7 linked regions of the Rattus norvegicus genome follow. The protein of the gene in region 1 binds, or shares a complex with, the protein of each later gene. Links are inferred from orthologs where the notes say so. Each region holds a gene or a part of one and is shown on either strand. Other genes may lie near its edges.

Region 1 (4,098 bases):
CAGTGGTAGCCGTTACATTACAATGGCTACGTAAACATAACGGGAGAAAGTATAAGCCACCACAACCCTTTCTGGAAATCAGTTTGACAGTATGAGTCAGTGGCCAGGTACGAGACAGGTAGGTGGAGGCAGACTGAGGACAAGTCATGCTGGCTCACCTGGCTAAACAGCTTCTCCTGCCACCCAATTATAACTTCTTCCTCCTCTTCTTCATCAGGGCGGTGTCCACCTCCAAACACAACAGAATGAATCAGACCAGCCACACTTCTTCCTCGGTGGTTGGTTATAACCAGTGTTCCTATATTTGTTTCATTTGGGTCTTAAAATTTTTGTTATTGTTGTTTGGAAGTGTCTCGTTCTGCAACCCAATCTGACCTCAAATTCCAGATCCTCCTGCCTCAGCCAGAAAAATACTGACATTACATGTGTATACCACCAGGTCTGGCTTCAAAGTCCTGATTCACAACGACCACGAACCCCACTGGAATTCAGTGACTCACTAAGCACTCACTCTAGACAAAGAACGCACATGCTGGACACACTTTGGTTAATGCCAGAAGAGAGATTAGGATCTGAGGTGTCCTAATCATTACTCTAATTTGAATAAAAGGTAACTCTGCCTTCCAGGAAATATAATCTTGTCCAGTACAAGGAACTGAAATTTAGTTAGAGGCTGAAGAGTCAGCCCTTCCTCAATCCTGCCTGCATTTGCTGAATTGGCTAGATAAACATCCTGATGTTTTTCTGAAGCCACCTACCAAATCATCCATAAACATTAACTCAGGAGACCATCAGGAGAGGGAGGGAAGGCAAATAAATTTTTTTAAGAACTATATTTAATACACTCCTAGTTCTGTGCATCTTTCTCAAGACACAACCTTTGTGATCCACACAAAGAATGCCTAAGAATATTTCTGAGTAGAACGAGAAATAACAAAAGCACTAAAGATTACTGGCCCAACATGAGACTCTTGTCCTTTCTTTTGGCTTTGAAGGCAAAGAACAAGAAATCACATTTTTCATGCAAACTCCTATTTTTAAAATTGTTTGTAAGTGTATTTACACATACATTTGGAGTTTGGACCATATTTCTCTTAGAAGCCCTTTCCCCCATTCCCCCCCCCACCCCAGTCTCCCTACCGACCCCCCAACGGCCCCCAATCCCGGTCAAAGTCACAACTAGGATGAGTAAGATGGCTCAAGTCCCAGGACGCATCAGGTACAGAGAGAGAACTGAACTGGTTCGCAAAGGTTATCCCCTGAACTTCACTCTTGCACTGTGGCATGGGCTTGCAGACACACAAATGTAAAGTACAATGTAAAAAAAAAAAACAAAACAAAACAAAAAAAAACCACAACAAAAAAAAACAAAACAAAAAAAACAAAACAAAACAAAACAAAAAAAAACGAAACGATTGCCCAGGTTCAAACGCTTCCATATTCCCCAGCTATGTGACACTGGGCAGCAAACTCAACCTCTCTGAGCTTTCTGTTCCTCCTCGGTACCCTACTGCCCCGCACCCTTGCCTCAGTTCTCAAATGATTCTATTCTATTCCACAAACACCCACTAGCAGCTTGAGGAGGCTTAAAAGTGGCCAAGTCTATGAGGTCCTTCCCCATCTGGGCAGCAGGCTGGTAATGAAGGAAGTTGCTTGATGTGATTCTTTGCAGATGAACTCTGTCAAGAGAAGAGAAGTCCCAAATGTGCGTGTCAAAGACACACAGCAAGGAGATACACGCAGTAAGGATGGGAGAAAGAAATCACAGAGGCAGAGGTGCCAAGGCGGCAGCTAGAGAAGAGGTGGGTAGGGGCGTCTGATGGATAAGTCAGTGAGGCAGGACAGAAGGGTCTGAGGGCTTTGAAAGTGGCGAGAACTTGAATGGACTTGAACAGGGGTGAGTCTGGAAGGTGTGTTTGTAAGCTTTCAGTGGGAAAAGATCCTGAACCAGAACGCGCACAGAAATGGCAGAGGAAGTAGTTGGGATTGTAAGCGGAAGTAGGGGCCTCTGAGCATCCAAAAGCTTAAGGGTGGAATAAAGTTAGGGGGCCCTGGAGCTTAGAGTAAGGGGACCCTGGAGCTGGGGTGGAGTGACTACCGGAGGCGCAGGTTGCGCACGGGGTCCCGGGAGCGATACACGGCCTCGCCGGTGTCAGTGCTCCAGACGGCTTCCGCCATGACAGCTGCTTCGCGCGGCGACCGCGCCGGAAAGCGCGCCCCGTTCCCCTGGCAACGGAGACGCTGGCTTCTTAGACAAGGGAGGCTCTGCGCACGCAGCTCTCCACGCCTGCGGCAGCCAGTCCTTAATGTAGAAGCAAGGGACCCTCAGCAAGTGAGCATGTGTGACGTCTGCAGCCTTGCTTGTCCTGTGTGAGAGCTAATGCACTGCACAAATGAGGAAACCGCCATCAGCTACTTTATTTAGGTGCAAAAATGGTGATGGCGGCCAGAACCAGGTGACCAGAGTTCTTGCTTTCTGACCAAACACTGCCTTCCACTGAACATTTGAAAACTTTGGCCTAGGGGGCGTGTAGAAATGGCTTAGTGGTGAAGAGGTTAGTGACTAGACTTCCAGAGGAACCAGCGTGCTCAAATGGCCACTCACACCTGTCTGTAACTCCGGTTCCAGAGGGGTCAGACACCTTGTCGCCTTACAGTGGACATACTGTGCGCAGACGTATTATGTTCAGCCAAAACACCATTATGCATGAAATAAATAAAAAAACTTTTTTAAAGAAAGAAAACTCAGGCTTAAACAATTGGTGAGTATGGTTGAAAGGACATGCTACGAAAATAAAACATATTCTTTGAAGAAAAAAACCACAAAGAAACCTGTAGGGCAGGTATATCAGTAGTTTTGTGGGTACGCACTGAGCCAGAGAAAGAAAAAACAAGGAAGCCAGCAGTAAAAACAAGGAATCCAGCAGAAAGGAAGGAAAGGGTGTTTTCCCCGTGGCATGTCTGTTCTGGATTATTAAGCAGTTAAGATTCCAAGCCAGCCCCTGAAAAACCAAAGTGACATTCAGAAGTCATGGTTCACTGGAGCATCAAAGGAAAGATAGTATAAACTTAATTCCGGCTGTTTGGCAATATCAATATTGGTAATAAGTATTTGACAGTTGCTGCCCATTCAGCTGAACAAGCAGTTGTTGCCTGGACTGAGACATTTCATGGCCATTTGATTATAGGGCAGAGAAGTCCTGGGCGCATTAGCTACTCATTGTGTACACTAAGAACTCACCACAAATAGCACATACCCAATGGGACCTCACGCAGTTTATATTGACTGTAACCCTCCCCAAAACCTCTCCAAGAGATACTTTATTGCAATTTAAAGGATGAAGTTACCGAAGGCCAGGAGTAAATTAAGGGGCTTCTTAATGAGTGCCGAGGTGGTAAAAACAGATTCCAGCCTGGTTTGGTTTTTGTGGCCTCAAACCTTCCACTGACTTACTGTCTCCCATCCACATCCTTAAGAAAATACAATTTCCGGGGTTGGGGATTTAGCTCAGTGGTAGAGCGCTTACCTAGGAAGCGCAAGGCCCTGGGTTCGGTCCCCAGCTCCAAAAAAAAAAAAAAAAAAAAAAAGAAAAGAAAATACAATTTCCAACTAAAGAATGATTTCTATAGACTGAAACCATGGAGATGGAAAAGCAAGTCAATCTGATTTTTTTTAAGCTGAGAATATCCAGGGGAGGGGGTTTATGTTTGGATTGCCAGCACTGGAGGCATAAATAAAAGGACTTCAAGTCTAAGACCTCATTTTAAACAGAACAAAACAAAAGAAGAACAAACAATTAAAAAAAATCAATCAAGAGCTGTAGAAATGGGTCAGTGGGTGAAGACCTTTGTCACTAAGCATGATGACCTGAGTTTGATCCTTAGAAGGAGAAAGCTTATTTCACAGAGTTGTCGTCTGACCTCCACACTTTGGCATGTGTGCCCACACACCATCACCACCACTAATAATAACAGTAGTAAAATTAAGCTTTTCCGTGGCACCTCCCAGGCCATTGACTGTGTCAGGGTAAAGCCGAGTATCTCCTTCCCAGCTACTGGCTGTGAGAAACTCATTGGAATGGACACTGAACATAAACT
Region 2 (3,500 bases), on another chromosome or scaffold:
ACAGTAGCATTCTTAAAACTGCACCTAACATCTAACCTCTTCATAAATGTGCCTAACAGTCAAGCAGGCTTCAGTGTTCACTCCTTTACATTTTAAATCTTAACTGTTAGTATGTTCTGTTCCTTAAGAGTGTGTGTGTGTGTGTGTGTGTGTGTGTGTGTGTGTGTGTGTGTGTGTGTGTGGTGGTGGTGTTTAGTTTAAGGATATACTATAAACAAGGTGCTATGGAGTCTCTAATCCATCCTTAGGTTAAGCATGCCTTATGTAATAGACACTGTTGAATCTGTGTGAAAGCCCTAACACTTACAAGAGCTAACTAGACTATGACAAATGCTATGAAGATACCTGACAGCGATGTGAGGTAGTTAACAAAGAAGAGTAGAGGTTAGGATTGGAGAGTGGTGGGGAGGGCTCCAAATATGGCACTTTTCAAAATGGTCACTCAGGAACTCTTGACATAATTCCAAATCTCACCGCCTTAGGGGATAGACTCAGAACAGATAAATGGGATTTTATCCCATGGGAACCTTTAGAGGCCACTGTGTTCTTGGTTGGAACGTCTGTTTTCTTAAAATAGTCCACTGCGGTTATTAAGGACGGTGGACTTCCCGAAGGAGGCAGCATGCGTGACTATGCCTTGCTGTTTCAGGCTGTTTTCTTTGCTGCCTTTTATGAGAGATTCATAGAAGACAAAATCCGGCAGTTCGTTGACCTGTGCTCCATGAGTAACGTGAGTACTCTCTAAGATCATCTTGCGACTGTCACTTTCCACTTTGGAAAGACAGGTATGTGTAGAGAAGCATTAAAACGTGCCCGTACATCTCACCGAGCAGCTCTACAGCAGTTTAATAAGTTGGCTTGTGATGATCGGATTGCCCATCTAATTTTCAACCAGCTATTAATTTGAAGAATAGATATATTCTTCCACAAGTTAATACTCTTGCCTTACCTTTTTTCTTCTTTATCTGCAGTTCTTAATTATGAATAATTAATTAGTGATTCATTCATCCTGCAGCCCCTGATTTTTTTTCACACATTCTTAGAAAACAGCTCTAGCCTTCTTTCCACTAACTTTATACACAACAAACAACATTGTTTCCTTGCTAATCGTTATTTTGGGTAAAAGGTAGCCATTTTAACAAAAGCTTACTTGGCCGTTATGGAGAAGTCCCTGATCGCCTCTTTTCCCGCGCTCTCTGCAGGTGTCAGTGTTCCTGCTGTCCCACAGATGTTTTGGATATTACATTCACGGCAGGTCAGTCCACGGCCATGCGGACACCAACATGGAGGACATGAACATGAACCTGAGGCGAGAGGCGGTAAGAACGTAGTCCTCACGAATGACTTTGGAAAGTCGCAGGGCTGCCAAGTAATGACCTGAGTACGAATGGAGCCCGGGTTTGTCTGCAGTCTCCATGGATTTCAGAGTAATCAAGTGCGCCAGGAAAGTTCTTCCTCCTCTGCAGGGAGAGAGGGAGGATGTTTGAGTTAGGGGAGCACCAGTGCACTGAGACTAATGGGTGGAAAGACAGACTGCAGTCATCAGTGGTTCTTAAACAAGAGCGTGTCAATGGCAGCTCTAGCGAAGGGTCAGGCTCACGGGATCCGGACACAGAGACTCCTTTCAGTCAGTTAAAAATGAAGCAAGCCGACACTGCACTTCCTGCTGTGCTGGGAAGACCGAGCCTGAAGACAATCAAATCTCTAGTTTAACCACGGTTTTATAGGAAGAACAGAGTCCAGAGGAGCAACCGAGACAGAGCTGATAGAAGTCCTTAGCACATCCAATGTGCAGCGCACCACAGAGCACATGGCTGACTGTCTGTAACAAACCAACGGCGTTAAAGGAGAGGAGGGCTGATGGTGGGGTAGAGGAGATCCTGCTTGAGGGACACTAGGAAACAGGGCAGCGAAGCTTAAGATACCGAGAAAGTCTGACATAATCATTCGCTGTTCTATTAAGTGATTAATTTTGTTAGTTATAAAAATGACAGTGGCGGTTGTTTCATTAAATCCTTATTAGAGAATCACAAGTGAAATGACAGGATCTTAAGTCTACAGTAAAATACCCTAAATAAAAGAAACCTGGGGAGATAAATGAAACAAAGATTGGCTAAAGGTTGATGATACTGAGACCCGAGCAAGGACACCCCAAAAAAGAACAAGGGGTGCTAAGAAGAAAGCCTTAGGGGTTCACTGAGCCCATATCTGCGACTTGGAGAATTGAGGAGCTAAACCCTCCCTTAGCTCTTAGACGCGACTGTGGGTTGAAAGGTTACCTGTAATAATTTAAGCCGTAAGCCCCTGGGAACAAAGATGACAACCGAGGAGTGCCATCAAAAGTGTACCCTTTGGAAAGCCTCAGGACGTGAGTAGTAATTCAGTTTAGTTTACTATCATAGGACATATATGTCAGTCACAATTACAAGATAGCAAATTAGGGTAAAGTGCATATAACTAATATGTCAGCGATATTGATATCTAAAACCATGGTGCTCCGTCTTCAACTTGCCATACTTCTGTGAAGCTAATGGTTAATAAAATGTGAACCGTAAGACAGGTGTTATCAGGAAGGTTTTTACAACTGGAAAATGTTTTGAGTAGTAAACGTCAGGAGATTCTTGGGACTCTCTAGTCTTAGACTGCTTATGTGAATTTTAACCCAAGGAAAATTCTTAGAGTCTAGATTTTTCCACAGGAAGAAAGCATGCAAACGTTTGAGAGGATTGTGTAGGCTGGTTTACCTTTACAATTAAACCTCTGAAGTTAGTGCTTAACTATTTTATATTAAAGATGGGAGTCCACTGTCCTCATGTCAGACAATGAGGACCTTCAGTGGCAATGACTTTGAAGGGGACAAGGAGGAGGATGCAGGCATAAATGTCTTGGAAAATGCCCAGCAGGACTAGGGAGCAACTGAAAGTCAGTGAGAGTCACTACTCCACACATGATCAAGTACTAGCAAGCCAGTGGGTGCTGGGTCCCCAGCCCTCCAGCTCTCCGAGTGTGCCCCGGGGATGGTGAAGCCTGAGCGGAAGGAGACCCTCGCAGTGAAGGAGCTCAAGGCCCAGAGGATTCCTGGCGTTGTCGGCTACCGACCAGATGGAAGCTACGAAGACTGGGGTCATCAGAACCGACTGAGCAGAGATATCAGACTGTGCCTGGCTGATTTTCCTATGCTGCCACTTTTTATATATAAATAAAAGTCATCCTTTCTACCTCCCCAAATGACTATGTATGTATGGAAAATTGCTCGGGATATGATGTTTAACAAAAAAAAAAGTGTAATTCCGAGTGTTGTCATTGTTGTTGTTGTTCTGTGTATGTTTGTGACTTAGAAAAGAGCTGGAAATGATGTGCTTTAATATATCCAGTCCAGATATTGAAATTTATAGCTGATCTTTTCTTGGTTCCTCTTCATAGTTTATGCATTCTTCATTCCCCACAATTTCCTATACTTTGTTAATTTAAATTTTTATTCAAAATAGAGAATCTCATAT
Region 3 (2,343 bases), on another chromosome or scaffold:
CAGAAGCTTCTCAGGATAAGTGCTCTTTCCTTATCTCTCCCTGGGGCACGGCTACAGGGATGGAGGTCACTACTTGGTTCTGAAACACGAAGATTTTGATTCTTTCAAACACCCAGAGGAAGATGAGCAGGATGCTGACATACTGGATCCAGGCAAACTTTATCATCTCCCAGAACCCTGGCTGATAAGTACAAATGCTAAGGAACAGCAGCCACGAGTAAGGAACAGCTACCCCAAAGCTCAGGTCAGATGGGAAACAGAATACTTCAAATACTCTCCAGAGATTATTAAGATATAAACATGGATAATTCTGACTCAGAAATGTTTAGAAAGAAAGAGGCACAGGAAATTGATTTTTCTTTGCTGTAGGAGCAGCAGTCATTTGTATGGGGCTAAAGAGCTGTGGCAATTTCCTATCTTGTGAGTCCCACATCTGTTCCTACTTGGGGTAACTAAACTAAGGAAGCTCTTCTTTCCTAGTGGAACCCGGCTAACAGAAAGGATATGAAATGACTTCCACGGGATAGCGGATGACAGCATCGATCACAAAAGGAGCTTCAGCGGCCCGGCCCACCAGCCAGATTGGGTTGGGGTCACTGAGGACAGTGGTAACTGCAAGGCAAACATTAGTCATTAATTCAAAGCGAAGGGCTATAAGTAGTCTTTGAGTACAGATCCCAAAGTCTTTTCTGTTTCTAAGATCTATTTGCATGCTTGTGTGTGTGTGTGTGTGTGTGTGCAGGTGTACCAATTCTCTCCCTCCACCATGTGAACCCCAAGGATAGAACTCAGGTCATCAGGCTTAATGGAAAATGCTCTTATCCACCCACTGAACCATCTCATTGACTCCTTTCTTCTCTCTCTGTCTCTCTGTCTCTGTCTCTGTCTCTGTTTCTCTCTCTCTCTCTCTCTCTCTCTCTCTCTCTCTCTCTCTCTCTCTTCTCATGTAGCTCACTGGTCTCCAACTTGCTATATTACCAAGGATGAGCTTGAATTTCTGATTACTCTCGTCTCCATCTCCTGAGGGCTGGGGCTATGTGTGTGTGTGTGTGTGTGTGTGCTACCAAGCTTTATGTGGCACTGGTGACTGAATCGGGGGAATTGTACCCGATCTATGCTAAGCAAGAGCTCGAGCTCTCAGCCCCGAAGAGTGAAAGTTGTATGAAACTATTTATATATGGACAAAGAGTGAATGAATTAAAGAGGAAAGAGTTGATCTTGGGGCCAGCAGTTGTCAGATTTAGTTTTAGGAATTGTATTGCTGCTATTGTACTGCATAAAATTAAAAAGAAATACTGGAATTAAAAGCCCTCCACTTGTGAAACGTTTGTGGCTGTCACCCATAATGTCGTGTTGCCAGAAACACTTTTGATGCCTTTAGGGAAAATGTTAGACCACAAACCAGCCTGGTGTGCTGACTCAAGCCTGGGGACACTCCTCTAGGGACGAACGCTACCTATAGTCAGTTCTGCCGGTGCCTCCCTTCTACCAGCCTACCATTGCGGACTGCCTGACACGCATCACCCATCGCTGTCTGGAAAGTGAGGACAGTAAACGGCCCTGACTTCTCTTACAGGTGTACTATGAGAGACAACTCACTCAAACCAATACACACTAATGAGAGCAAAGCAGCCAAGCCAGTGACAGGATAAATAAAGCGAGTGATTGCTGATATGCTGGGCTACGGGAGAGGTGGCTTGTGGGGAAGGGTGTGGACAGTGGACAGAGGACAAGTTCCGGCAAGCCCGGGCAGCCTGTGGACAGGGGTCCAGCAACTCACCATTCCTTTCCTGATAGGCAGCGACAATGTGAGTCAGGTCGTAGTCATGGGCAAAAGGACTGGTCCCATTGATCACCGATACCTGGGGCGAGGCAGGAGGACACACTGTGAGCACTTCGCTCTCCTTCCCACGCAGCAGCCCACCCAGCCTCAATCCTGAGGCCACCCTGGCCCAGAGACCACGCTCTTGTGCTTGTGACCCAGCCCTGGTTCAGAATTATTTCTGTAGAGTTCTATTTTTATTATTCATACTTGTGTGCGAATGTGAGTGTGTCAGAGGGTGGGGGTAACATGTACATGTGAGCACACGTGCCCATAGAGGCCGGAGGCATTGGGTCACCCTGGAGTCTGGAGTTAGAGTTACAGGTGGTTGTAAGTGACCTTATGTGGATGCCGGGAATAGAACATCTCACCAGCCCCGGTTCAGTAATCTTTTCTTTGGGGATGAATAAACTTTCTGTAATAATCATTTTTGAGTACACACACACACACACACACACACACACACAGAGAGAGAGAGAGAGAGAGAGAGAGAGAGAGAGAGAGAGAGAGAGAAAGAGAGA
Region 4 (4,300 bases), about 19 Mb from region 1:
TTCTAGAAGCTGGGCAAACAATCAGCAGCAAGGCACTTGTTGTCATAGAAATAAGGTCTGAGCAATCAGTCAGTCATATACACAATTACTAAAAGCACCTTAAAGTCATGGCTCTGACCAGTGTTAGGAGAAATTTCAGGAGCACAGGACAAAATTCCTAAATTCTATCAGTCAGTACATGCGAAATAAATATGATCGTCAGAGAATCAGATAGGAGCAATCAGGATGTTGTCAGGTCCTGATTACACGGAAATGCTAATCAGCAGATCATGCAAGCTCCAATCATCATTTTCTATCTGCCCTCCGAGAGGAGGAACAGGTAAGGATTAACCTCCTGACGATAAAGGACAAAGGGAGCCCATTCCTAATTAAGTAAAGACATTCCATATTAAAGAAAGGGTGAGAATATGACAATTTAGCACGAACCCAATGACTTATAGTTATTGCAACTCAAGAGCAATATCTATTTGCAAGTCGCCTGAAATATTTTATTTTTCCATTCGGCGCAGAAAGAGAGAAACAAAGTTCTCCCATAATGCTCCGCTCACATACAGCAAATTAGAAGCCCTATGTGAGGTTCTTATTTACATATTCCCGCCCACTCACTTCCGCCTATTTTGTACCGTAAAAATCCAAATAGAAGCATAAGCTACTAGCTCACGTACAGAAGGCTAGAAAAAAGCCTTTATTTACATCAGCCTTTTGATTTACCCAATGGTCTTCTGACAAATAGTCTAAGCCTTGCTCTTATTATAAAATGAATTTTATTACAAAACTCTAATAAAATTATAACCCAAGATTTGTGAGATCTTATCCCAACATTGCCATTTTCTGTTTAGACGCAGTTGGGAGGAGCAAAAGACTAGGGCGAGAGAAAACTGAAGCCTCTCCCTTTCTTCTTCCAGCAATGGGAGGGAGTTCATCACGTTTCCGGCTTTGGTCTCTTCATCGGATTGTGATCAGAAGGGTTTCTTTTTCAGCCCAAAGACAGCGATGAATAACGCAGTTTCAGTGACAGCTGGAAAAGCGCTGTGGAAGTAGGGGGTGGGTTTAGAGCCCCTTCCGACCCAAACACTCAAACCTCCAAGCCTTATATGTGAGTGGGTTAGCGGATGGGTACGACTCTTTAAAACTCTACCAATTTCACATGTGCAGGAAAGGTCTAGGTGGGGGAAACCTTCAGATTTGGGGTAGACTTTCCACCACCCTCCATTCCAAAATAACCTGCAGAAGGCAAAAATGTACCAGTACGTGGTACATTCCCATCGCTCGAATATGAAGAAAGATAGGGCCACAGACGCGCTACAGTGGGCTGCAATGGCTTAAAAATACAGCAGAGTCAAGGAAAATAATAGGTAAGTGATGGGTCCCTTTAGTACTCGGACTTGGGCTCAGCTTGTTCCCTTCCCTTAAGACAAACACCAGAGTTGGCAGCCATGCCTTCTGAATTTGTGGACACTTATGTGTAAGAGGCCAGAGCTGAGTTTGTTTTGATAGGACCTCTCCCTGTACACTTTTGGGAGTTAATGTCACATATGCCCTAGGCCTCACAAGAATACCTACAGGTCTGATACACTGTGGGAATTTCTCCAGTGCTCTGGTCCTCCTTGTCCACAACTCAGAGTCAACGGCTATCTTTTTTTTTTTTTTTTTTTTTTTAAAAAACAGGGTCTCTCTATGTAGCCCTGGCTGATTTGGAACTCACTATGTAGGCCAAGCTGGCTTCGAACTTAGAGATTCACCTGCTCCTGCCTCCCTAGTGCTAGGATTAAAGGTTTGCAACATCACACCCGGGTATCGAGAACCTTCCTATGTGTCTCATTTTCTTGGTCCCTTTTGAGTTCCCACAATGGTTTGTATTTTGCACACTCCTACAGAATACTGTTTAATCACACTGATTTACAGATGTTTATCCATCTCTTCCTCAAACAGGATAAAGTGGTTTTACTCCCACTCATGGATCGCCAGAACCTGGCTCACATCAGGGTTTAAGGTTTGAAGTCTATTAATTCCCCAAAACTGTCTAAAACCTCTCACCTAGAGAGATTCGCTTTGCCACGTAGGGCAGAGACTTGTGCCCAAAAGGCCTACAGAAGTGGAAAGAGTGAGTGGTGATGATGTCGCATGGGGACGCTGGCCAGGCAGAAAGGATACAGAGGAGGCTCTGGGTGCTATTAAACATGGAGACTCCTGAGAGGAAGCCAGCCAGCTCCACTGCAAAGAGGCCCAGGGTGAGGCAGAGCGCTGCTACCAGTCTGCAGAGAGAAAGGGTGATGGACCTGGGTTTCCGGATTGCGTAGAAGACCCTGGCACTCTCACCCCGCCCCAAGAGCTCACTGGTTGTCCTGCTTCTCATATTCCTCCGGGGTGAACTTGAGAGGCAGGCAAGCCTGGATGTTGCTTTCCTGGTGAGCCGGGCAGAAAGAAAGAAAGAAATGTCAAAAGAGGGATGGGGTTGCGGGGGACGGGAGCAACGGACCCAGTGTGGGTCTGTGGGAGTGGACTGAGCTGAGCTGGGTCCACTCTAAGGTGAGAATGGGAGGGACAAGAAGACACGCGCGCGCGCCCTGTCCACGTCTTACCCGGGACCAGAACAAAGTGATGACAATCACCAGATGAGCCAAGAGCGTCAGGAATCGAGAGGGCACGAGCCCGGAGATCCGACCCATGGCCTCGGGGGCCCAAAGCGGAGGCCGTAGAAGTCTGAGGAGGGTCACTCATCAAGTCTCCCAGAGCAAGCAGGCCAGACCTCTCTACTTAAGCCTCCTTCCCGCGTGCTCAGGCGCCGCCCGGTTGCCATGGTAACTGCGTCCTCAGGCGCCATGCAGCTGCCTCCGGAAGTCTCGCGATAGTGCTGCGCCCTCTGCAGATGTCTATAGGCCAGGTACCCGAGCCGATGCTCACCTCCTGGTGCTTGTGGGATGAATCCGGGAGGATGCACCCGTAACCACCAAATCCTCCCTTTTCCTGTGCTTCCCACTCACTGCCTTGGGCGCCAGGAGATGAGGGAACGAAGGAGTAGAGCTTCAGCACCGAGCTTTGCCCCACAGTCTCGCCAAGCCCTCCCCGCCCCCCCCCCACAGCCCCTGGTTGTCAGAGGGCTCCCTCTCCCACCCAAGACCAAACCTCTGCCGATGAACGACTCTAATTTCTCCCTAAATAACTTGTCTCGGTTTCATGAAAGATTTGCCGAGTGCAGAAATGAGCAACCTTGGAATGGGTAGAATAGGATGTGGGTGGATGAGGTGACAGCCTCCTCGGGATCCCAAGGGATCTGAAAAGGTGAAGAATGGAGTGGGGGACTAGAACAGCTTGTGCGCCCCTGGGAGGCTTAAACCAGGCTGATTCACCACCGATTTCACTCTCGCTTTGAGTTGCCAGGCCGCGGACATTGCTCAGTTACAGACCCAGAACCTCTTCTTAGGGTGATGTGACTGATTTGGGGCTTCGGATGAAATGCCTGCGATCGGAAAGTTCTCACTACCATCCCAGTTCACAATCAAGTCCCATTGACAATGAACCTCCTCCTTTTGCACCCCCTCTTCTCTCATTTCTCTGTGTGTGTGTGTGTGTGTGTGTGTGTGTGTGTGTGTGTGTGTGTGCCTCTAAACCAGCCTAAAAGACAAGACCCAGAGGGATTTCATTCATTCAACAAATATCTGATGTCTCCCAGATGCCAGGCACTGTGCTTGACTCAGAATACATCGATAAAGTCCCTCCAGTTTATATTCTAGGCAGAGAGACTGATAACAAAACAAACAAACAAAACAAAACAAACAAATACACACACACACACACACACACACACACACAAAACCCCAACAAAACCCTGCAAGGTAATGTATGCTGTAAATTTAAAAACTTTAAAGGGTGACACTAGAATAATATCAAAGGAAAGTTTTGAAATAGATAATTCCTAAATTTTCGTTTCAAGGAATTGGGGGGAGGGGGAGAGAGAGAGGAAATGTTTCTGTCTCCCTAAAGTAATACATGGGGTCCCCTTACCTAAACCAGTGAGTAAAAACATTTAGAATGCAGAGTCAACGTTTTTTACTTAAAGGTCATGAAAGACAGGCTGGAGTTCTTCCCACTGAGTGGGGGATAAACCTAACCTAACATGAGATCCCAAACCAGACAAAAGACACCCCCCACCCACACACACACTCACACTTTCATTATAAAAGACTGGTGGAATGTTTGACAAACAGTATAGTATTTGTAACTTAAATAACAACAACGTAGATTTTTTTAATTTTTTATTTATTATATATGAATACACTGTAGCTGTCCTCAGACACAC
Region 5 (3,500 bases), on another chromosome or scaffold:
TGCTGCCAAAGGGAAGCCCTCATGATGGGTACTCACCCGTGTGGGGGCCACCTCATCATACAAATGGGAAGAAGAAGCTGAAGGGCAGCCTGGCATTGATGGTGGGTGGGGCTCGGAAGCCTGCCTCTGCAGGGGCTGACACATCCACAAATGTCACTGCAGTGGAAATGACCATGGTCCTCTCAGGCCCTGGGAGGGGCTGTAAGGAAAAGAGTCAGCACTGTCATCATCTTCCTCACCCGCCCTCACGGCCAGCCTGAGGAGCCGCACGGCGGGTGAGGAGCACTATGCTATCAACTATGCTGGTCCAGCAGCAGCAACCACAGTTCTGTGTTCACAAGAATTGTGACTGCAAATAAAACTGTCAGCCTTTTTGAGTACAAGTTAAAGAATGATCATGGAATTGTTTCAAGACTCGAAATTAAGTCAGGAGCCTGAGGCTCGGGGTCAGTGTGAGAGGGCACAGCATCATCTGCCTACCTTGCCCTCCCTCACGTAGGAGCTGTGACGTGAGCACAGCCATCTCAATCCCAAGACCCCACTGTAAAGAGACTGAAATCCAGAGAGTGATGGCCATCTCGCCTCCCGAGTAATAAGCATTCCCCGTCACCCTGCTGTCCCTGGGCCCTCTGTCTTCCTTCACATTTCTTTCTGTGTGAGGCTGAAGGTTGTCCTGGGTTAAGAACGGGCCTAGAGCTGTTCTGTCTGGTGGCTCACACCTTTAATCTCAGCAGAGGCTGATGGATCTCTGAGTTCAAAGCCAGCCTGGTCTACAAAAAGAGTTCCGGGACATCAGGGATACACAGAGAAACCCTGTCTTGGAGGGAAAAAAGATTGGGCCATACCCCAGCCCATGGAGACCGTTGCCAGCAGGCCTACCTCTGGAATTGAGATGAGCTGGGCAGTGACATTTACTATCCTGGCCTGGGGGTTCAGCAGGGACCCATACTTAGTCCATTTTACTTCTATACCCAAAGCCACAGGAAGCTGGCAAGAGCCCTGCAAAAGAAAACTAGATTAAACCAGAATATCCCACAACCACAAGTCAGACCAACTCTGCAGCTGAATGTTTTAATTAGAAAATGTCTCCCAATTACAGAATGTTCAGAACACTAGGGTAAACGGGCCACACAAGTTCAGGTACAAGCGACTTCACAGAGCTGGAGTTACTAAAGCATCTAGTGCTACAAATGCCGTTTCACCAGCCCCTCCTAGTCCCAAAAGCCAGAGTCACTGTGCAAATGTGAAGTTCCACTACCCAGTGGTGGGACCTTTAGGGCCTCGACCAGTCCTCATCCACCTCAGAGATGTTTCTGGACACTGGCTAGGGGTCAGCAGGGAAGAGAGAATTTAACAGTGGGAAGGTGAACTTGCTTGTATCGCATGTTAGAATAAAACAGGAAACACCAGCATTCTGTCATCTAATTTCACCATCTAGCAACGAAGATACATCCTGGGGTGGAGAGATGGCTCTGCAGTTGAGCACTGGTTACTTAGGTTGAGTCCCCACACCCACCTGACAGCTCAAAACCACCTGTAACTCCAGTTCTCGGAGACACGACACACTCCTCTAGCCTCTGCAGGAACTATGCCCATGCATATATATACGTGTACTCATACACTTTTTTTTAATAAAAGATTTTATGTATGTGAGTACACTGTTGCTGTCTCCAGACACACCAGAAGAGGACATCAGATCTCATTACAAATGGTTGGGAGCCACCATGTGGTTGCTGGGATTTGAACTCAGGACCTCCAGAAGAGCAGTCAGTGCTCTAACCACTGAGCCTTCTCTCCAGCCCCCATACACTTTTTTTTTAAATCTTTAAAAAAAACAAAAACAAAACAAAACAAAAAAAACCAAAAACAAAACAAAACAAAAAACAAAACCCAGCTCAGTTTCACATGCCTTTCCTCCAGTACTGGGGAGGCAGAAGCAGGCAGATCTCTGGGATTGAAGCCAGCCTGCTCTATGGTATCTATGTTCCCAAAGGTGACAGTGCAGAGCAGTCATGGTGCTCACCTTTATTCCCAGCACTCGGAGGCAGAGGCAGCAGACACTTGAGTTCAACGCCAGCCTGGTCCACACAGCGAGTTCCAGGACAGCCAGGACTACAGAGACCCTGTCTCAATCAACAAACAACAGTAACAGTGCAGCATCCTCACTGAGGTAGATGGACTCGGGGCCTCCGGACCCTCCTCTTGCTGAGAACTGGGACTGCAGGAGCTGCAGTGGGCAGAGGGCCCCTAAGCTACAGTACTTGCCTGGATGTTTCAATCTCCATGTATATTTTTCTAAATTATGTCCTGGCTTAGAAAGCTAGCAGACCTGCTAAACTGGAGACTGCCAAAAGCATTCACAGGATTCTTTAGCTTACAAGTGCCTTTTAGGAACCTTGTCACTGAACTGGCTTGCCAATATCCTGTCGCTAGGTGAGGAGCTGTGGCAGGTACAGTGGGCCTGCTTCCTCTGGCACTAATGCCTGGTGTCTTTACCCAGTGTCAGGAAGCTAGGAGCCATGCCCCAGGCTCACTGAGGCTGAGCAGGGGTTAAGTGATTCTTGGAATGGAGGTCTGGTGAGGTTACTCTCCCCACTGAGCTGCTCCTTGTAAATACACAAAGCAGATACTGAGAGGCCTGAAGCGGCTGTGACAAGAAATAGCTGGGTAATTAGGGGAGAATGGAGTGCACACCTCCGCTGGGGACAGCCCACACTCTGCTGTTAAGACAAGAGAAGGAGGTGGGCAGAAGAGTCACGTGTGACCAGGAAGCTATTTGTAGGATGTCAGCTTCCATTAAACTCTTTGGGGAACTTTGGAATGGAAAGAACTCCCGTGTGGGTGGACTGCCATTACAGCACAGAGGGCATGGCATGGCCACATCTCCTGTCCCTCCTGTCCCCAAATGCCCGAGGAAGGCTTACTGCATCACTGCCCTCTGAGCTGACCATCCTGGAGGACTGCAGGAAACTCTGGAGGGCCTGGTGTCCTGGGGACTGAGAAAGTTGAAGATGGACAGGAAATTCACGGTTCATGTCCACCTCACACAGGAGGGCTAGAGATATTTCAGGGAGCCCCAGTTTTGACCACAGCTACCATATGATGAGTAACATGTTAGCACTAAAAAGTTCCAGATTTAGATGTAACATTGATTTCCCAACCATATTCGACTATGGTGGTCACTTGTGCTCCCAGTTTATGGAGTGACCACTGTGTCCGCCAACACCAAACAAATAACCCTGTGTGGTCAGTGACATTGTTTCTGGAGGGCTCTGGTAGGCCCGGGCCTGGCCAACATGGCTCTGGCAGGCCTTGCCTTGTTAAATCATTAGATCACATCCCCAAAGCTGGCCCCAAGGCCTGTGCCCACATTTGGCCACTTCCTCCTCCTCCTGAGGCTGACTACCAAGGTCCAGCTATCAAAGTAAAGCCCCCTTTGGCTGCCCTGATTAACACACCCAGTTAAAATAAAACATTTCATCCCTTATAAATTTCTATTT
Region 6 (4,227 bases), about 26 Mb from region 1:
AACAGTGAGAGAACACCAGGCACATCTCAAACCGTCTCCTCCTCTCCCTCTCCCTCGCTTCTCTTCTTCTTTTTTTTTTTTTTTTTTTTTATTTTTTTTTACCAAAGCTCCCCGCCCCCCACCCCCACATTCACCGCCACTGCCGCCACCGCCGTCGGCGCGCTCCGCTTCTCTTCTTCTGATCACTGTTGACTTAGGCATATTTGGAGAAGCCAATATCATGGGATGACCACCAAGAATGGCAGCAGTGGTTGAGTGGAGCCAAATACGCTGTGAAGACCAGCAGGTGGCAGCCACCAGCTAGAAGAGAGGGGGTCTAGAATCTCTGCTTGTAAGAAGGACTCAAGGCTCTAAGCTAAAAGAATTTCTTACACTCTTGCACAGTGGCCCACCTGGGAGGCTGTGACCACATGCGTTTCCTCTTCCTCACAGGTGACTTTGGGAATCCCACCAACTGACTTCCAAGCTAAGAGCTTGTGTGATGACCTGGAGTCTGCAGGCTGAGCTCCCTAAAGTATACACATCTGCATCCATTCGTTTCCAGGCTAATCATTAATGTGCTCTCTAGTGTTTCCTTATACGTTCTGCATGTGAAGCCTGATTCTGCAGCTAAATTGCTGCAACGAATATGGCTTAAACTACCTTCCGGGTCTGGATTTCAGTCACTTCCTCCAGAAAAGAGATGTTTTCTTTTCAATGTTTATTCATTAAAGAAGTCGTTCCCAAGTATTTTCCATTGGCCGGACCAGGACCAGGCAATGACGGCCCCCAGAGTCGAGCTGGGGATCTAGAGGCAGAGACTAGCACTAAGCCACTCTGAATTAGACAGTGATAGAGTAAGTGCAGTTGGATCCAAGCGCTAACAGATGCGTCTACTGAGGATGCTGGTGACTTGGGATCAAGCTCTGATATCCCTGAGCTGCCAGTGATTCTCCAAAAATGGGTGATTGGTTCCGTGGGCTCCAGCTTCTCATGCAGGAGCCAGGACTTGGACAAGTGGATTCTCCAAGTTTCAATGACAAGAGCCTCAAAGGGCTAAAGGGCACATCCTTCACCTGAGGCAATGCACTGCGAGATGCCCGCTGGACCACACTGCGCACTAGTCTCCCCAACTGTGGCGCCTGTGCGGTCGCTGCATGTGGCCACAGCGACATCTCCTGGAGAGAGGTAACTCTAGCACGTGACCTTCCGCGAGCCTGAGTCCCGGTGCTGCTTCTCAGTATACAGCTTTCCGGCCTGCGAGCTTCAAGCATGGCCAGGAGAGTGAAGTCACAGTCCCTGCGGGTCCGAGGACCCGACCCTGGGGTTTAGGTTTCGCGCGACGGAAACGGAGGACGGGCCCCTGGGTCGTAAACAACACTGCGCCTGCGCACTCTTGCCTTTACGCGAACTCGTCACCGCTTGAGAAATTTGTCCTAGATGAGTTGCCATCTGTTTCCAAGACAACCCAGGAGCCTCCTGGCAAGGGCGCGCGGCCCAGCCTGCAATGGCTGCAGCAAGTCCCAGTGTCTTCCTGCTCATGGTCAACGGGCAGGTAGAGAGCGCACAGGTAAGCAGCCACTTACTCCTCCCGTTCCTCTCCCTGGGCTCTCTCCTCTGCTCTTAGAGAGTCAAGCCATTGCTCTGAGCGTCTCAAATAATTGGGAAGGCGAACCAGCATTTGAGAACCTTGGTGCCAGGTTGATGGACCGGACAAGCACGAGTGAAAACTGACCTCGAGGTGTTGAGCTGGTACCAAAGTCACACTATGGTCTCTTGCTTGGCTCCTGTTTACTTGGTTGAGTGATGGTCTAGAACTAATGGGATTCAGCCGATCATTTAACAGCTAGGAACTTAGCGGAAGGCAGTGGCCAAGTGGGATTTGACCCGGGTCTGACAGACAGAACTTTGCTACATTCTTCTTCTGGGCTGCTTGTTGAAAATGCTCATTATTCCTACATGTTCTGAGGTTTGGCTGAGATGATTTAAGTTCTACCAGGTCTGAAGCTCAGTAGGTGTTCCTGCCTTCCCATTCATTGGTACTGCATCCTCCGTTTTCCAGTAAGTGGATGCCTACCTGGGCTGCTTCCTCTGGACACCTTCCTTCAGCTTCTGCTCTGGGCCTTCCCTTCTTCCCGGCCCTCAGTTCTAGCCATGTTCTTTGGCCCTGTAGCTTCTTGGGTTCCACTGTAGCTTCTTGGGTTCCACGGCAGCTCATTTCTGTAGCTCTAACTTATGCCCCGAGGCATGAAACCCGTTCCTTCCTCAATCTAACAGGGCTTGTCAGATAGACATTGGTTTCCTGGATGCAGAAATGCAGAGGAGCGTTGGGAGCCAAGCGATGATCCTTAAGCCAGCTAGAGAGTAAAGAATTCCCTGAGGGTGAATTCTGAAAGATGGGCAAGGGGCCTGCCACATGATGGACTGGGAAAGACAGAAAACAGAGCAAAATAACCCGTGATAATTGGCAGTCTGGGACTAACCCCAGTTTCATTTCCATTCCCTGTCCCTGCTGAAACCCATGTCCACATCCTCAACCCCAGATTTCTCATGTTCATGATTCCTACCCACTGCACCTGCCTAGCTAGTGTGTGGGTCCAGTTTGCACTTTCTAGACCAAAGCCTGTATACTTTTCTCTCAGTTTCCAGAGTACGATGACCTCTACTGCAAGTACTGCTTTGTGTACGGCCAGGACTGGGCCCCAACAGCGGTGAGTTGGACTCATGGGCCTCCCCTAGAGCTCTTGTGATTCTTAAAGTTTTCTCATATGCTTCTATTCCAGACCCAACAGGTAGACACTAAGGTCAGAGATGACCCAAACATGAGCTCCTTTCTAGCAAAGCTAGTTTACAGTATACTACGGGGTTCACTCATCTGTGTTGGTGGCAGTCAAGAATAAGAAGTGGCAGCCTTCAAAAAAGAAAGAAAAAAGAAAAAAAAAAAAAAAGACGTGGCAGGCTCTGGAGAACCAGCTGCCAATGGCTATGGACACCCATCAGCCAATACCCCCCCCCCCCAAAATGTGGCCCCTTCTCAGACAACAAAAACCAACCAGAACAAAATAAAGGGTCTGTTCTCGAGGTTTTGAGTTCTTTACCACAGGAAGGGGCTGCAGTGAAGACCACCACCACACCATACTTCATTGTTTGCATAGCCTAACCTTCACAATAGTTTAAAAAGCCAGCCAAACATGATAGCATCTGCCTGTAATCCAACACAGAAGGCTGAGGCAGGAGTGTCTCTAGGAATTCAAGGTCAACTCTGGGCTACATATAGGAGGACCACACAACTGGAAAAAATAAAAAATCCAACGTCAGGGTTGGGGATTTAGCTCAGTGGTAGAGCGCTTGCCTAGCAAGCGCAAGGCCCTGGGTTCGGTCCCCAGCTCCGAAAAAAAAGAAAAAAAAAATGTCCAACGTCTTTGAGCCAGAGTTTCTTCATCTGTACCACAGACATGTTAATACTTTTTGGGTTTTCTCTTATGATACTTGCATAGAGATTAATTCTATTTTAAGTTGTGTGTCTATATATCTGTGTATGGGTATGAATGCAAGTGGAGGCCACAGGTCAGATCCCCTGGAGCTGGAACTGCAGGTGGCTGTGAGCTACCTTTGGGGCTGGAGAAAATTACTGAACAGAATATGTACTTTTGCAGAGGACCCCAGCTTGATTCTCAGCACCCACACTGTGGCTCACAACCATTTATAACTTAGTGACTATTATTGAGTCCCCTGGGAGTGACCAATGTCTGACAGAGTCCCCATCTTTGTGGAGAACATCTGTACTTGTTAAGGAGACACTACGTAGGATACGTTCTGTGCTACGTTCAAGGACAGGTGGAATGAAGAGGGAGTAGATCAGGAGCTAGAGTGTACAGGTAACTAGGAGGGTAGAATCTAGACCAAGGCATTTCAAGGGCGGGTAGAGACAAGCAACACAGAACTTACATGATCTCTCCACCTTGCCTGCTTAAATAGAAAGGTCATGGGTTCCTGGCACTCAGACCAGCTGTCTCTGCCAATGTCTATACAGGGTCTGGAAGAAGGGATCTCACAGATAGCATCCAAGAGCCAAGATGTACGGCAAGCACTGGTGTGGAACTTCCCTATCGACGTGACCTTTAAAAGTACCAACCCCTATGGCTGTGAGTCTGTGGGCCATGATGGAAGGGGTAGATCTTTACCACATCTGCCACCAATCTCCTTTAGGTGGCCACTGCCAATGCCTGGGTTTGTGCCCTAGCTTTT
Region 7 (2,644 bases), on another chromosome or scaffold:
AGTGGTGTTATCACATCCCCACTTGGTGGCTGAAGCATTCCACTCCCTGGCTTCTGCACAGTGTTTTCTTGGAGCCCTCACTCAAACTCCTAAAGCAATTTTATTAGCTGGACAACTATGACCTACCCCTGTCTTCCAACAGCCACAACCAATGTTTTTATCAATGACTTCTGGTTAGACTATAGTATTGCTGAGGGATGTACATTGAATCTGGGAGGAGATGGCATGGTGGCTCAGGATTGAAAACAGCTGTAATAATTTAAAATGGCAGGTGGGGCAATGGCAGCACTAGAGCCTGGGACAATCTGCCTGACATCTACCCTGTTAATGTTCTTGTATGTTTGTTTTTCTGATGACTTAGAAACTGAGATTCAATTTAGGTGCTGGCCCTAAGCACAGCCCAACCAAGTTTCTTTGGAGACCTGTCTACATTGGACTGAGCAGAACAGATGACCAGGCCCAAAGCAAAGGAGAAATCAAACACAAATGTTTACTCATCAGAGAAGGAAAAGAAAATGAAGACTTTATTTGTAAAGATTCAGTTTGTGGGAACTCAGCTGCAAAAGCAATTACTGTTCTCAGAGAACTCTGGTTACATTCCCAGCACACAGGAGAGTTTTTAACCACCTGTAACTAATAATCCAGAGGCTGTAAGGCCCTCCTCGGTCCCATGGCCACAAACAGCTCTGTAGACAAAACCTTAACCTAATAAAACATAATATGAATAACACTTTTAAGTCAGAAAAAAAAAAAAAAGAGGCATCTTAGGGAAAAGACAACCAGCCCCATACCAGAAAATACTTTTTATTTAAAAAATTTGTGTTTGCTTCATGATCAGAATTAGAAAAATACTACTGTGAACTACTAAATGGGTTCTAGATCACCATCTCCTTGAGCAGGATGAGGAGGAGGGTACGGGGAACACACATTGGAATCCGCTTAAGAGCCCACCATTATGAGGCTTTCTTTGCATGGTCATGTAGGGCAGATGTGTTACGTACAGGGTACTGTGGCTCAGGTTCTGCTGGAAGCCAGACAAAACTAGATGGGCCACACAAGGAGCTCTCTCTGGCCATAATGACCACAAAAGAGAACTTGAAGTCATTAGGAAGCTGTTAGAAACACCAAGATGGGGACAGCCTTGCCCCTTCAACAAAAGGAAAGAGTCTCCTGCTGATGATCCATCCCGGTTTAAAGATGGTGCCACTGGCCTCAGGTAGGTGCTCAATGCCCAAATGTCTGTGCTGAGGAAAAACCACACAAACCTTTCCCAGGTCAGCTCGACCTACCACTTTTCACAAGTGTGGCTGAAGTACCAGACGGATATGGGTTGTGACCTGATGGGCTACCAACTGGAATTCTTGTACTTCAGATCCTGTCCATACTAAAGGCAAAAAGAAAGAAACTGTTAAAAGACCAGTGAGTAGGTCTAGAGAGATGACCAGGCAGTTAAGGGCATCGGCTACTCTTCCAGAGGACCTGGGTTCAATTCCCAGCATCACATGACAGCTCACAAGTGTCTGTAACTCGAGTTCCAGTGGATCTGACTCATACAGGCAGGTCAAACACCACTGGACATTAAAAAAAATAAGACCAGTGTCTAACAACTGAAAGCTTGGACTCTGCATTTTAGAAGCCTCTTGATTCCACAGAACCAGAAGACTATCTTCCTTAGGAAGGAAGCTTTGGGGACTGGGAAGATGGTTCAGTGGGTAAAGTACTTGCAACCCAAGCATGAGGACCAGCATCTATAGATGGGGAAATGGGTTTCCTGAAGCAAACTGGCTAGCTGCTCTAACCAAATTGAAGAGCTTTGGGTTCAAGTGAAAGACTCTCCAATATATAATAAGGTGGAAAGTTATGAAGACACTTGACATCAGCCTCTGCTCTACACAACTCCTGATCATTTGTGTATACACAGAGGTGAGTATACAGAAGTAGAACTACACAGAACCTTTCTATCTACTGAAGTAAGAAAAGCATCCCCATAGACACCCCCTTAAATTCAGTTTTCTACATCTTCTAGGCCTTCAAAAAGCCATATCTGGGTGGGGAATCCAGCCCTCAGCAGTTATACCTGGAGAAAGTGGCCAGCGTGAGCATCTCAAGCAGCAGCTCTGAGCCACAAAAGAAGAGCAAGATACTGTTCATAATAGCTTCTAGGCGGAGCACGTAGGTCTGCAGCAGCAGGTAATAGGAAGCCATCATGGCAGAAGGGAAGGTCAGGGCCACACTGATGCCAAGGGGCATCTTTCGCTGGCAGAGGTTTCCCTTTGTACCTAAAAAAAAAACAGCCCCATGGTCACCGCCAATAGTGACTGCTCTTCCTGGCCTCAGAAAGTGTCTGGTGTGACAGATGGACGGAACAGAGAAAAATTACTCTCAGTGGGAATATCATATTTAAATATTTTATTAATTTATTGCTTATTTTCTGTGTATGAGTATGCACTGTGTGTGTGCCTGGCCTGGTGCCTGTGACAGAACAAATCATATTCTCTGGAACTGGAGTTGCAGAGGAATGTGAGCCACCATGTGAAGCTGGGCTTTGAACTCTGGATTTCTGGAAAAGTAGCCAGTGCTCTTAACCACTGAGCCATCTCTCTAGCAGGGAATATTATTTAAAATTTAAGTCCCACTGAACTAA

The links.
Region 2: Mks1 (region 1) and Tmem67 share a complex: the UniProt entries of both Homo sapiens proteins name them as parts of the tectonic-like complex. The link is inferred for Rattus norvegicus from reciprocal best matches to the Homo sapiens genes MKS1 and TMEM67.
Region 3: Mks1 (region 1) and Tmem231 share a complex: the UniProt entries of both Homo sapiens proteins name them as parts of the tectonic-like complex. The link is inferred for Rattus norvegicus from reciprocal best matches to the Homo sapiens genes MKS1 and TMEM231.
Region 4: Mks1 (region 1) and Tmem107 share a complex: the UniProt entries of both Homo sapiens proteins name them as parts of the tectonic-like complex. The link is inferred for Rattus norvegicus from reciprocal best matches to the Homo sapiens genes MKS1 and TMEM107.
Region 5: Mks1 (region 1) and Tctn1 share a complex: the UniProt entries of both Homo sapiens proteins name them as parts of the tectonic-like complex. The link is inferred for Rattus norvegicus from reciprocal best matches to the Homo sapiens genes MKS1 and TCTN1.
Region 6: Mks1 (region 1) and B9d1 share a complex: the UniProt entries of both Homo sapiens proteins name them as parts of the tectonic-like complex. The link is inferred for Rattus norvegicus from reciprocal best matches to the Homo sapiens genes MKS1 and B9D1.
Region 7: Mks1 (region 1) and Tmem216 share a complex: the UniProt entries of both Homo sapiens proteins name them as parts of the tectonic-like complex. The link is inferred for Rattus norvegicus from reciprocal best matches to the Homo sapiens genes MKS1 and TMEM216.

The regions. Positions count from the first base shown.
Region 1 is NC_086028.1:73,151,301-73,155,398, reverse strand, and holds the start of Mks1 (tectonic-like complex member MKS1), read right to left. Parts: upstream 2,801-4,098; 5' UTR 2,179-2,800; coding exon 2,099-2,178; intron 1,680-2,098; coding exon 1,570-1,679; intron 230-1,569; coding exon 159-229; intron 1-158. UniProt on the Homo sapiens protein: Component of the tectonic-like complex, a complex localized at the transition zone of primary cilia and acting as a barrier that prevents diffusion of transmembrane proteins between the cilia and plasma membranes.
Region 2 is NC_086023.1:30,338,167-30,341,666, reverse strand, and holds part of Tmem67 (meckelin precursor), read left to right. Parts: intron 1-649; coding exon 650-730; intron 731-1,202; coding exon 1,203-1,319; intron 1,320-3,500. UniProt on the Homo sapiens protein: Required for ciliary structure and function. Part of the tectonic-like complex which is required for tissue-specific ciliogenesis and may regulate ciliary membrane composition.
Region 3 is NC_086037.1:56,794,173-56,796,515, forward strand, and holds part of Tmem231 (transmembrane protein 231), read right to left. Parts: intron 1,863-2,343; coding exon 1,781-1,862; intron 613-1,780; coding exon 507-612; intron 189-506; coding exon 11-188; 3' UTR 1-10. UniProt on the Homo sapiens protein: Transmembrane component of the tectonic-like complex, a complex localized at the transition zone of primary cilia and acting as a barrier that prevents diffusion of transmembrane proteins between the cilia and plasma membranes.
Region 4 is NC_086028.1:54,269,696-54,273,995, reverse strand, and holds Tmem107 (transmembrane protein 107), read right to left. Parts: upstream 2,801-4,300; 5' UTR 2,670-2,800; coding exon 2,583-2,669; intron 2,406-2,582; coding exon 2,338-2,405; intron 2,280-2,337; coding exon of another isoform or gene 2,256-2,279; coding exon 2,155-2,255; coding exon of another isoform or gene 2,038-2,154; intron 1,322-2,037; coding exon 1,225-1,321; coding exon of another isoform or gene 1,030-1,224; coding exon 960-1,029; 3' UTR 476-959; downstream 1-475. UniProt on the Homo sapiens protein: Plays a role in cilia formation and embryonic patterning. Requires for normal Sonic hedgehog (Shh) signaling in the neural tube and acts in combination with GLI2 and GLI3 to pattern ventral and intermediate neuronal cell types.
Region 5 is NC_086030.1:39,998,094-40,001,593, reverse strand, and holds part of Tctn1 (tectonic-1 precursor), read right to left. Parts: intron 2,997-3,500; exon of another isoform or gene 2,024-2,996; intron 1,000-2,023; coding exon 880-999; intron 390-879; exon of another isoform or gene 200-389; coding exon 56-199; 3' UTR 1-55. UniProt on the Homo sapiens protein: Component of the tectonic-like complex, a complex localized at the transition zone of primary cilia and acting as a barrier that prevents diffusion of transmembrane proteins between the cilia and plasma membranes.
Region 6 is NC_086028.1:46,684,721-46,688,947, forward strand, and holds the start of B9d1 (B9 domain-containing protein 1), read left to right. Parts: upstream 1-1,427; 5' UTR 1,428-1,486; coding exon 1,487-1,549; intron 1,550-2,621; coding exon 2,622-2,690; intron 2,691-4,012; coding exon 4,013-4,124; intron 4,125-4,227. UniProt on the Homo sapiens protein: Component of the tectonic-like complex, a complex localized at the transition zone of primary cilia and acting as a barrier that prevents diffusion of transmembrane proteins between the cilia and plasma membranes.
Region 7 is NC_086019.1:216,620,876-216,623,519, forward strand, and holds the end of Tmem216 (transmembrane protein 216), read right to left. Parts: intron 2,280-2,644; coding exon 2,078-2,279; intron 1,385-2,077; coding exon 1,369-1,384; 3' UTR 501-1,368; downstream 1-500. UniProt on the Homo sapiens protein: Part of the tectonic-like complex which is required for tissue-specific ciliogenesis and may regulate ciliary membrane composition.